2 linked regions of the Rattus norvegicus genome follow. Each later gene encodes a partner of the first gene's protein in a complex. Links are inferred from orthologs where the notes say so. Each region holds a gene or a part of one and is shown in the gene's direction. Other genes may lie near its edges.

Region 1 (5,654 bases):
CAAGTGCTAGGATTAAAGGCTTGAGCCACCTCAGTTGGCTGGTGTGATGTTCTAACTCTCCTAATCCTTCAGAACGGAATGTCCCTTCCCTTCAGGACACCTGTCATGTTCTATGTCACACTCATCTCTCCAGAGCCAACGCTTCTGAATAGTCTCCTCCATAGGGGCCTCCTCACTGCCGTCTGTGACAATGGTGCTGTAACTCTCCTCATGAAGCTCATTGGAGAGCAATTCCGTCTCAGTGTCCTCTCTGCGAATCTGTGTTATCTTTTATCAATGACAACAACAGAAGGTCAGCAAGATCATCAAGCTGGTAAAGGCACTAGCCGCCAAGCCTGGCAACCTAAGTTCCAGGACCCACATAAAGATGGTGTGAAAGGACTGACAAGGTGCCTTCAGACCTCCACCTGCAACCACTAGCACGAATAGCTAACTTTTTTTTTTAAACTGTCAGTGGAATACTAAGCACCCAGACGCAGGAGAATCTCTGAGAGTTCTACGCCAGCTGGGGTGTAATGAGAATTCTGAAATGTTGGTTTAAAAACACAGAAATATAAGCGTTTGTTTTCTTTTTAACCCCAGGTGTGGGATGTGGGGCTGCTTCAGACTGTCCACAGCAGCTGACTGTGATTTGCCTGGTGCTCTGCGGAGGCGTGGTTTTGCCAGCTGCAGATAGTTTCTGTGATTGTGTGACTTTGGAATTCTGGGAACTTTTCAGAGAGTATAAAAATGCGAAAGCTCCAATCGACGGGGGTGGCTGCTGCTTGTTGGTAGTTGTACTCAAAGAAGAAACTGAAAGGAAGAAACTAGATTCAAAGATCTCCCACACCCTCCTCCTTCCTGTCCCTTCCTCTCCTATCTAGTGACAGGAGGTAAAACCGGGAGGGATAAACGACTGGGAAAAGAACCCACAAAGTAGCTAAGACCCGCTACACTGAGGCTGCATAGTAAGATCTTATTTTAAAACACACCACAAGGGTTGGGGATTTAGCTCAGTGGTAGAGCGCTTGCCTAGGAAGCGCAAGGCCCTGGGTTCAGTCCCCAGCTCCGAAAAAAAGAACAAAAAAAACAAAAAAACAAAAAAAAAAAAACACCACAAACAAACCACCACAAAATTATTTATTCTGGGTGAGAAAATAAGACAACATACTCAGAATCAAGACTCACAAGCCCTCCACAATGAATAGCATTCCTTAATTATCTGCTCCTACAATACACAGGGTTGTTAAAGAGGACTCAGTGGGACTATAATCTGCTCTATCTACCCCACAGGTATGAAGCAAACAATAAAAATATACCTCCAAGCTAGGTGTCACGGTCCCACCTATAATCATTATAAGAGCACTAGGGAGGCTCTGGTAGGAAGATTGCTAGTTTGAGGCCAACCTGAAATACATATCAAGATTTTCAAAAAGCAACAGCAACCAGGTGATATCGCACATGCCTCAGATCCCAGCACTCTGGGCAGAGATAGGCAGATCTGTGATCTCAAGGCCAGCATGGTTTACAGAAGGAGTTCCAGGACAACAAAGGCTACAAAAAGAAACCCTGTCTCCAAAAACAAGCAAACCAAACAACAGCAAAAAAGGGCCCATCACCAACAAACACAACAAAATCTCAGGACTATGTATTTCATATTCTGAGTGAAAACACTCCCAAATGTATACTAAGTGACCGAATCTTTAAAAATAATCAGAACTCCAAAACCTACTATACAGGTGCATATAGACAACCGCAGGCGCTTTGTGCTTGCATCCAGGCTATAGAGAAAACTTACTGGCCAAGGTAAGGGAGGGAAACTTATGGATTTAACCAAGCAAATGAAAAAGAAAAAAGAAAAACTAAACTAATACTGAGCCACAAAGATAATAATCACGTGTATGTGGAACAAAAAATTGTGCTTGGCTAAACTGACCACTGTAAAAACCACACGGACGAAAGACGAAAAAAAGAGAAGGACCAGATTCCAGCACTCACAGTGGCTGCCCCCTTCTAACCTCCGCAGCACTGAGCACACACGTGACGAAAAGACATACAAGCAGGTATGCTTGTTCAATACATTCGTACAATAAAAATAGATATACAGTTTTTTAAAGGGCCAAAAAAAAATAGTCTCCGCTGGGACCAGCGCCTCCGACAAACCGAGGACGTCCGGAAAGAGAAGTTTGTCTTCAAGGCGTACCTACTTCAACAACCGAGGAGAAGCTGCAAAAACCAGCTCGGCTCGGGCCTTTGATTTCCCGGAACCGAACGACGTGACTCGTACATTCAGCAGGCCGGGGAAGCTACGAGCCTTGCACCGGAAAGGGACTAGTTTACCGGAAGTTATAGCTCTCCGAGACTGAAAAGGAAACGGACCGGCGGAAGTCGTAGTCGCGGAAGCCCAGGTCATCTAAGGGGTCGTGCTCTCGGAGGCGGAGCGAGGACTGCGCAACATGGCCGGGCTGGAGCTCCTGTCCGATCAGGGTTACCGGATAGACGGTCGCCGCGCGGGGGAGCTGCGCAAGATTCAGGCGCGGATGGGCGTGTTTGCGCAGGCCGATGGCTCGGCTTATATCGAGCAGGGCAACACCAAGGCACTGGCGGTGGTCTACGGGCCTCACGAGGCGAGTAAGCGGCAGGGATTGGGGGCTCGTGGCCGCACGACGAGGAAGTAGACCTTACAGCTTAACTCCTCTACCTATGCAGCAGTATACTAAAATCCCATCTTTGAATTTCTGGGGTCCTCCCTGGCAGAAAGCATCTCAACACACGTTGTCCCACCGTGTTGTAGGGGAAATGATGTGCGTGCATCTGCGAGGACCTGGCTTCTTCTGATTTCACCTCACGAGCTCTTTCCCTTGGTTAACTTCCATTTCAATCCTTCCTTTGTGTTACATCCACTAAGCCATGAATATAATTATACCCCGAGTTCTGAGTCCTCTCGGGGAATTGCATCCCTAACATGGCCCTCAAATTTGTATAAGTATTAGGTCCCATGATGAACTGAGAATATTGGTTTCTTTAAGAACCCAGTTATGTTATGTGATTATGTTTTTGTTTTAATCCCACGGGTGGGATATGGGGCTGCTTCAGATTGTCCACAACTACTATGATTGTCTCATGCAGGGACTGGGGGCTCATGGCTGCACATCGTGGGAGTGGACATGAGTCTTACTGCTTAACTCCTCCGTCTCAGTGGGCCTCTTTTCTCCTGGGCTGCCCTCTTCATCTCTGAGGTGCCTCATACATCCTGGCAAAGCTACACTCAGTCCCTGTTCTTTCAGTCCAGTGTTTTGACATCTTGTCCGGAAAAGGCCTCCCAGGCTATTTCTGCCCCTGCTACATCGATTTTCCTCAGTCTTCCATGTCTCTTGTCTCTCTACTGGAATGTAAACTCCCAAGACAGAGACATTATAAATTGCCTGCCTTTGCTGCTTTGTCTCAGTGGTGTAGCAAGGCCGGCAAACATGCACATTTTAAGGGTTTTTTTGTTTGTTTGTTATTTGTTTATTATATATAAGTACACTGTCACTGTCTTTTAGACACACCAGAATGGCATCAGATCCCATTACAGATGGTTGTGAGCCACCATGTGGTCGCTGGGATTTGAACTCAGGACCTCTGGAAGAGCAGTCAGTGCTCTTAACCAATGAGCCCACATTTTAAGGTTTGCTAGCAATTTGCTCAGCTTTCTAGGTGGAAGCCAGGTCAGGTCTAGAACACATTAGGCCAGACTACTGGTAGACCGAGGGACAGTAGATCAAATAAAGTTGAGTGGTTAACCAAGGAGATGAGGACCCAGGGCTTTGAAGGTCGGGGAAATTGAGATTTTCTTTTACATGTAATGAGAAGCTTCTGGAAGGTAAGTAAAATATTAGTGTGTGGGTGACACAGTCAAATCACATGTTTGTAAACATGGTGACCACGATGGGAATGATTTAGGAAGAAATGGAGCAACTAAAGAACAAAGGGGTTTTTTTTGCGGAAGGTGACAGTGGTGCGGCTTAGACCGAAGTGTAGCCCTAAACCGCCTGCCATGGTTTGGAACCAAAGTAGCTGCTGCTTTCTGAAGCACTTTAGAAAGAAGAGGAGGAAGGCTGAGCCATCGAGTGTGACCCAGGAGGTAGGCGGCCCTGGCTCATTCCTTCTTTTTTCCTCCAGATCCGGGGCTCCCGGTCACGGGCTCTGCCTGACCGGGCTCTAGTGAACTGTCAGTACAGTTCAGCAACCTTCAGCACAGGTGAGCGCAAGCGAAGGCCTCATGGAGACCGGAAGTCTTGTGAGATGGGGCTGCAGCTACGCCAGACCTTCGAGGCAGCTATCCTCACACAGCTGCACCCACGTTCTCAGATAGACATTTATGTGCAGGTGAGCCTCAAACCACTCCCCCGGGGGCGGGGCTTAAGGGGATGAGGTCTGCCTGAGATGCTGGAGGATGAGATGTCTGATGTCCTGATGCCCCCTGCAGGTGCTACAAGCAGACGGTGGGACCTATGCAGCATGTGTGAATGCAGCCACGCTAGCAGTGATGGATGCTGGGATACCCATGCGGGACTTTGTGTGTGCATGTTCGGCTGGTTTTGTGGATGGCACAGCACTAGCGGACCTCAGTCACGTGGAGGAAGCAGCTGGCGGGCCCCAGCTAGCCCTGGCCCTGCTGCCAGCCTCTGGCCAGATTGCACTGCTTGAGATGGATTCGAGGTTGCATGAAGACCACTTGGAGCAGGTGCTCGAGGCTGCTGCCCAGGCAGCCCGGGATGTGCACACTCTGCTGGATCGTGTTGTCCGGCAGCATGTGCAGGAGGCCTCTATCTTACTGGGGGACTGAGGCCAACCCCCCATATCCAGAATAAAGGCCTGTTCCTCTCCTGAACACACTGTAATGTACAGCACTTCAAAGCAGCTCAGGGCCCTACATAGCAGTTTGTACTGCAGTCCCTAAGTGGAGAGAACACTTGTGCTAGGAAGAGCAAGAGTGCTCATGCTGTGCCTGCCCAGATATCAGGGTCCACAAAGACCACCAGGGGTCTGGATTTGTATGCAAAAGCAAAGCCTTTATTCACACTTAAGCTTGGACCCTCAGAATCCTCCAAGCATCAGATTTGTGCTGAGACCTTGAACCTCATTTAGGCAAGGTTTTTATACTAGTTTGAGCAGGGAACGGGGGTCTCCAGCATAGCGATTGCCTTACTTAGCAAGGGTTGAGCAGGGAGGGGGTCTCCAGCCTGTCAGTTGCCTTATTTGGCAAGGGGTATCTTGGTGCACAAGGATTGGTCAATGATGAGCAATTTATCTGTAACCTTTGGAATTTTAGACACTTTCCCTCTATTTCTCTGATTGGCTCTAGCCCAGGGCAGTTTCTTCCTGGATTGTTTATGATATTTCTATTAATCGCAGTTCAAACAAGGGACAAGCAGGCTCAAAATGGAGTCCGCTTTCTCCCATCACTTGTGTTCCTCACTCATGCCCTCAGACTAAGGAATGTGCCTTGCTTACACAACTCTTCAGAGACATGAGTGCAAGGCTGAGGTGGCTATGTGTGCTCATCAAGAGATGTAAGGTTAGACTAATGCAATGGTTCTCAACTTGTGGGTCACAACCCCTTTGAGGTCTCCTATCCGATATCCTGCAAATCCGATATTTACACTATGACATAACAGCAAAATTAGTTA
Region 2 (5,774 bases), on another chromosome or scaffold:
ATTAGGAGGTCAACATCATCCTTGGCTACACAGCCAGTCTGAGGCCAGCATAAGATACGCGAGACCGTGTCTTTAAAAAGAATTCGGATTGTCAATCACCTCCTATATTCTTGAGTTCTGTGTGAAATGTCTACTTTAAGGCTCAAGTGACCAATTCTCATCTATTTATACCCTACTTAGGGTTCAAATCTTTCTGTAAGTAGTCTTGTAACCTCCTTCTCTAACCCTTAAATTCTTACACATACAAATGTGTATACATGCAGACATCTACACACACACATATGGCCAAGGTTTAAATCAAATGCATATAAACATCCTAGCATAATACCTGGCGCATAGAAGTTTCAATAAATACTTGTTGAAGGAATGACCTGGAGAGAGGCAGAACAGGAAAGGCCGACAGCTCTACAGAAGCCAGCAGAGACACTCCTACCAAAGTGATCACACCAAAGGATTTGCTGCACTCATTCTTTCTGGTAAACAAAGAAACAGAACCATTATTAGAATCACAGCACTAAAGAACAATAACTTAGAGGACACCTCAAACTGGAAATCAAACCTGTAAAGTGGAAAGCATATAGTTGCTGATCAAACTCCAGTGAACAAAGAATGGGTCCAGGACCCCCCCCCCCCAGCCTAGTGGGATATGAGGAGAAGGAGGAGACTAGAAAAAGATGTAATAAATGGACCACAAGTGAAAAGGTTTTACCTTGGGAAACAGAGAAAAAAAACAAAGTCTTTAAATCTAAATGTGGTGAGAAGTCATGGATGACCTGAATGAACAGAGGAGGGATAAGCCAGCATAGTTCCTCCAAACCCCAAGTCCTGCCACCTCTCAGTAGAATCCACAGAGTACAGTGGCCATCTGCCACCAGAGTAGAGATTAGCAGGCAACAGCACTCCCCTAAATCACCATCTGTATCTCAAAGAAGCCTGACTGACAGGGAGGGAAGGGGAGATAGGAATAAATTCCAGAGCCAAGAGATGAAACTGAGATCAAGTCACGGCAAATTTCATCTGGACACAGCTGCTGCTCCCGTGACCTTTGCCATATCAAGCTGATGTCAAGAAAGCATAATATTCTATTAATGAAGTTGTCTTTCCCGGCTAACATGCTAAAATGGAAGAATGCAAAAGGAATGGTATGTTAACGTCAAGCTGCCCATTCATAGTTAAGGAGCTCACGCTCTAGAGTATCTGCCTGCAAGAGAAGAAACTGTCGTTTTACAAAGCTTAAAAAAAAAAAAAAAAAAAAAAAAAAAAAAAAAGGTTGTGTCTCCAGGTGCAGCAGGGTCCAATTATGATAGGCTCAGGTCAAAAAAAAAAAAAGAAAAAGAAAAAAGGCTTAAGCTTAGTCTGTCTCGAACTATCTACGACACTTTGTACAAACCAAACCTTGTCTCTGGATCTGAGTCTCCAAACTCGTGAAATGGGCGAGTTGGGACTGAGGATGAGTTGGGACAGCCACGCAGGGCAGGGCGCAGAGAGTCCAGGAACTTGAACTTAAGGGCCTGGACACCCGAGACTCGGATGGGGACAAGAACCGCGCCTTCACTCTTACCTGCCTCCTGCCAGCTTCTCAATCAGCTAGATTAGGCCAAGTCTCCCTGTCAGCCACTCACTGCCTCCCCTTCCAGCTCGGGACCCAGGCCGGGCCGAGCTAAGGCTAACCCACCATGGCCCTGAGCCCGCAGCGCCAGCCAGCGGACCGAGACCCGCGGACAGCCCATCACCACCCAGCTGCGCAGGCGCGAGTCTCAGAGCCCGCAAAGTCACGCCCAGAACTCTGTCCCGGGGCAGCCTGGGAAATGGAGTCAGGCTTCGCTCTTACGCCTTGCGCGGTCGAAAGCGCCAATTGGTGCACGCGTAACTGCGAGGCCGCTCCTCTAGTTGACCAATAAGAAGTCGTCTTGGTTCTCATCCGGGTTGTGGACGGTGGCAAGCATGGCACCACCTGTGAGGTACTGCATCCCGGGTAAGTGAGCGGTCTCCGCAGGCAGACCCTGGCTGCGGGCAGCCAGTTTCTGGGAGCTCGTAGCTGAGGCACATGTCTTCTGCAGGCGAACGTCTGTGTAACTTGGAGGAAGGCAGCCCGGGCAGCGGCACCTACACCCGGCACGGCTACATCTTTTCGTCGCTGGCTGGCTGCCTGACGAAGACCAGCGAGAATGGCGCGGTAAAGAAAGCGGCTAGCCAACGAGCGTCACCTCTCAGGCTGCCATCGAGTTCTGGTCCTTGGGCACAGGCACTACCGGGAGGACCTGTCTTTGGTGTCTCAGAGCTTTGGTCTCCCAGCTTCTCCCAGCTCTGATCCCAGCGCTGTGCTAAAACACACCTGCTGCACACCATTTAGGTTGGGCTGGCTTAGTTGTGTAGAGACACTCACAGAAGGAGGTGGAGGGGAAAAGCACGCAAATTTGAGAATAGCCCGGCCAGCCGAGAGCTTCTTCCCGTCATGCATCTCGACTACCTCCGCTTTCTTGTGGCTCTTGTGTCCCACTTCACTGACATCAATGTAGTAATGCTGGAGATTTTCAGTGTCTTAGTGAACTAAACTCTGTTTCGAAGCCTATGCAATGCATGTACTTGTCTGTCTGGAACACACTTCTGCTCAATCCCTTTTGTTTTTTGTTTGTATGTATGGCTTTCCCAGAGAAGCCCTTCTGGACCTGCTGACTGAGAAAATGGGGGTTTTAGTGGCAGTAGGATTGTTGTGCCCAAGAACCTTCCCTGGAGCACTTATTTAAATATGTTACTCATGATAACTAGATTCTTGCCCAAGTAGAAGTTTAAGTGTAGCCATGCATGGTGATACACGAGTGTATTCCCAGCTTCTAACTGACTCAGATAAAGCAGTGGTTGACATTTGTAAGACTATAAAAACTAAGAATTAAACCTCCTCAGGCTGGGCTTGTGGCTCATCAGCACAGCGTTTGCCTAGCTTGGGACCTGGGGAAAAACACACCCTCTTTAGAGACTGGCAAAACCCAAACTTCCCACTTTGTGTTGTACTTATTTGTAAAAAAAATGGGCTCCAGTCTATTGGTTTTGGAGATAAAACTCAGCCTGTCAGTCTACTCACTACATAGATGTCCTGCCCAGTGGTGCCCTTAGTTGCTACTGGGGATAGAGTCCTGAGCCCAATACACTTAGCTTTTGTTACCAGGGAGACAGACACAAACCATGAGCAAATGCACAAACATATCTTCAAAAGAAGTGTGCGGAACAGTGAGAACATGTAACGGGCTGCATGAATTCTAGATAGTGACAATAATATTTCGGCACCTGAAGATAAGGAGAGGTGGAGGAGTGTGGAAAGAATGGATTAGACAGACAACGTGAAATGGGAGGGACTTAGTAAGGTAAGGAAACAGCACAGAGCAAGAGAGGTAAGATAATACACCAGTTGCCATTGGAGTAAAACAAGAGTTGCCATTCTATAGCATTTAATTGCAAATCCTGAAGTAAAAAAAAAAAAAGTTATAGCTTGAAGAAAGAGTCAGGATATTCATAATTATAAGCAATAGGATTTGTACCAGGAAATCCCAAGAGAGTCTTCAGTCATTTACAACTAATCAGAATGATCACATTAAACCTGGCAGCCTAGTTCTAATGGCCTCTGATCCTCTTTATTTCCTAAAATGACTAATGTCCTCTGCTATGGGCTATAAATGAATCTACAGGCTGCCTGCCCTTGTGACCTCGGCTGTTGTAAGATACCCCTGTATTATCCTCAGCCTTCAGTTCTCTTTACCCAGGGCTTACTTAGCCAGTACACTAACCTTCGTATTCTCTCCACAGCTTCCCGTGGTATCAGTAATGAGAGAGACAGAGTCCCAGTTACTTCCAGATGTGGGAGCTGTCGTCACCTGTAAGGTAAGCCGGTCCTAGTCATGATTAGGCCGAGATCCTACAACTGCCGTGGTCCGCTGCTTAATACAGTAGTCCCTAGCTAGAGAAGGGTGTTTTAAGTTTATTACTGCTAGAAGGTCAATCTCAGGGATGGATGTGTTGACTCAGCCTTTAATCCCAGTACTCAGGAGGCATAGGCAGGTGAATACTTGAGGACAGCCTGGTCTATGCAGAGAGTTCCAGGACACCCAGGGCTTCATAGAGAAACCCTGTCTCAAAAAGAAAGAAAAGAATGAAAAATTTATTTTTAGCCAGGCTAAAATATAAAATATCTGTGGTCTCGGTATTTGGATGCTGTTTAGAATTATTGAACAGTAGTCCAAGACCAGAATAGGCTACAGAGTGAGATCCTGCACCCCACAATCCCAACACTATTCACATTTTAAGTACTCGGTAGCAAATTGTGGTTAGTGGCTGCCATACTGGTTGACATATGACTTTAGTTTGGGGGGTGTGGGAAAGTGATGGACTCCCCAGAAGTACGTCTTCAGTTCTAGGAAATGATTGGTTTTGTTTTACCTCATGTGAATAGTTATCTTGTCTGTATCATATGCGTGCCTGCTACCACAAAGCCTAGAAAGGTGTGTCGCACCCCCTGGGACTAGAGGCACAGATAATTATAGGCCACCATATGGGTGCTAGGAATGGAATCCAGGTCCTCTAGAAGAGCAGCCGGTGCGCTTAGCTGCTGAGCCATCTGTCCAGCCCCAGGAAATCACATTTCTGTCATCACAGAAATTTTTGCTGGCAGGGCATAGGTGCACGCTCCTCCAATGGTGCTTGGGAGGCGGGGAATCTCAAAGGGGAGCTAGGCTGCAAGGTAACCCTCTGTCCCAAAGACGGCTGGAGGGAAGACAGACACGGCAAGAGGCAGGCATATCTCTGTGAGTTCAAGGCCGACCTGGTTTAGAGTGCCAATAAAGGTGGGGCTACATAGTAAGACCTTGCCTTAAAGGAAGCGGGAGAGGAAGGAGTAGGGGAGAGTGTGAGTCGATAAATAAAATGGCTTATCAGGCAGTCACTTTCCATACAAGCCTGCTGACGCACATAAGAATGAATCCAGGAGGGGCTGGGGATTTAGCTTAGTGGTAGAGCGCTTCCCGCAAGGTCCTGGGTTCGGTCCCCAGCTCCGAAAAAAAGAACAACAACAACAAAAAAAGAATGAATCCAGGAGAAAACCAACTCAGCAAAGTCGTCTGCTTAGTTTTGATCAGCTTGCCACATACTAGCGCTACACGGAAGGAGGAAACTCAGTGAGGATTTGCCTCCATCAGCTTGGCCTGTCTGTGGGACATTTTCTTGGTTGGCGTTTGATATGGGAGGACCCAGACCAGTGTGGGCAGCACCACCACTGGGTGAGTGATCTCTGATTGTGTAAGAAAGCTGGCTGCGTGAGCCCAGGAGAGCCAGTAAACAGCACTTCTCCAGGCCCCCTGCTTCTGTTCCCAAATCTAGGTTCTGCCGTACGTTTCTTCTACCTCAGCTCTCCCTGATAATGGACTGTAACTGTAAGACACTTCCCAAGTTGCTTTTGGTCTGTGCATTTATCACAGTAACAGAAAGTAAACCGAGGGCTGGAGAGATGGCTCAGCGGTTAAGAGCACCGACTGTTCTTCCCAAGGTCCTGAGTTCAAATCCCAGCAACCACATGGTGGCTCACAACCATCTGCAATGAGATCTGATGCCCTCTTCTGGTGTGTCTGAAGACAGCTACAGCGTACTCATATAATAAATAAATAAAATATTTAAAAAAAAAAAAAAGAAAGAAAGTAAACCGAACAGACCTCTCACTTACGCTGTGAGGTGTGAGCCTGCACTCAGTGCCCCAGCACACACTTACAATTATTATTATTATTATTATT

What was found. The genes of interacting proteins can lie anywhere in the genome.
Region 2: Exosc4 (region 1) and Exosc1 share a complex: the UniProt entries of both Homo sapiens proteins name them as parts of the RNA exosome core complex. The link is inferred for Rattus norvegicus from reciprocal best matches to the Homo sapiens genes EXOSC4 and EXOSC1.

The regions. Positions count from the first base shown.
Region 1 is NC_086025.1:109,926,094-109,931,747, forward strand, and holds Exosc4 (exosome complex component RRP41), read left to right. Parts: upstream 1-2,397; 5' UTR 2,398-2,435; coding exon 2,436-2,606; intron 2,607-4,143; coding exon 4,144-4,350; intron 4,351-4,450; coding exon 4,451-4,810; 3' UTR 4,811-5,140; downstream 5,141-5,654. UniProt on the Homo sapiens protein: Non-catalytic component of the RNA exosome complex which has 3'->5' exoribonuclease activity and participates in a multitude of cellular RNA processing and degradation events.
Region 2 is NC_086019.1:250,690,910-250,696,683, reverse strand, and holds the start of Exosc1 (exosome complex component CSL4), read left to right. Parts: upstream 1-1,935; 5' UTR 1,936-1,944; coding exon 1,945-1,975; intron 1,976-2,060; coding exon 2,061-2,176; intron 2,177-2,198; exon of another isoform or gene 2,199-2,353; intron 2,354-2,396; exon of another isoform or gene 2,397-3,362; intron 3,363-3,801; coding exon 3,802-3,876; intron 3,877-5,774. UniProt on the Homo sapiens protein: Non-catalytic component of the RNA exosome complex which has 3'->5' exoribonuclease activity and participates in a multitude of cellular RNA processing and degradation events.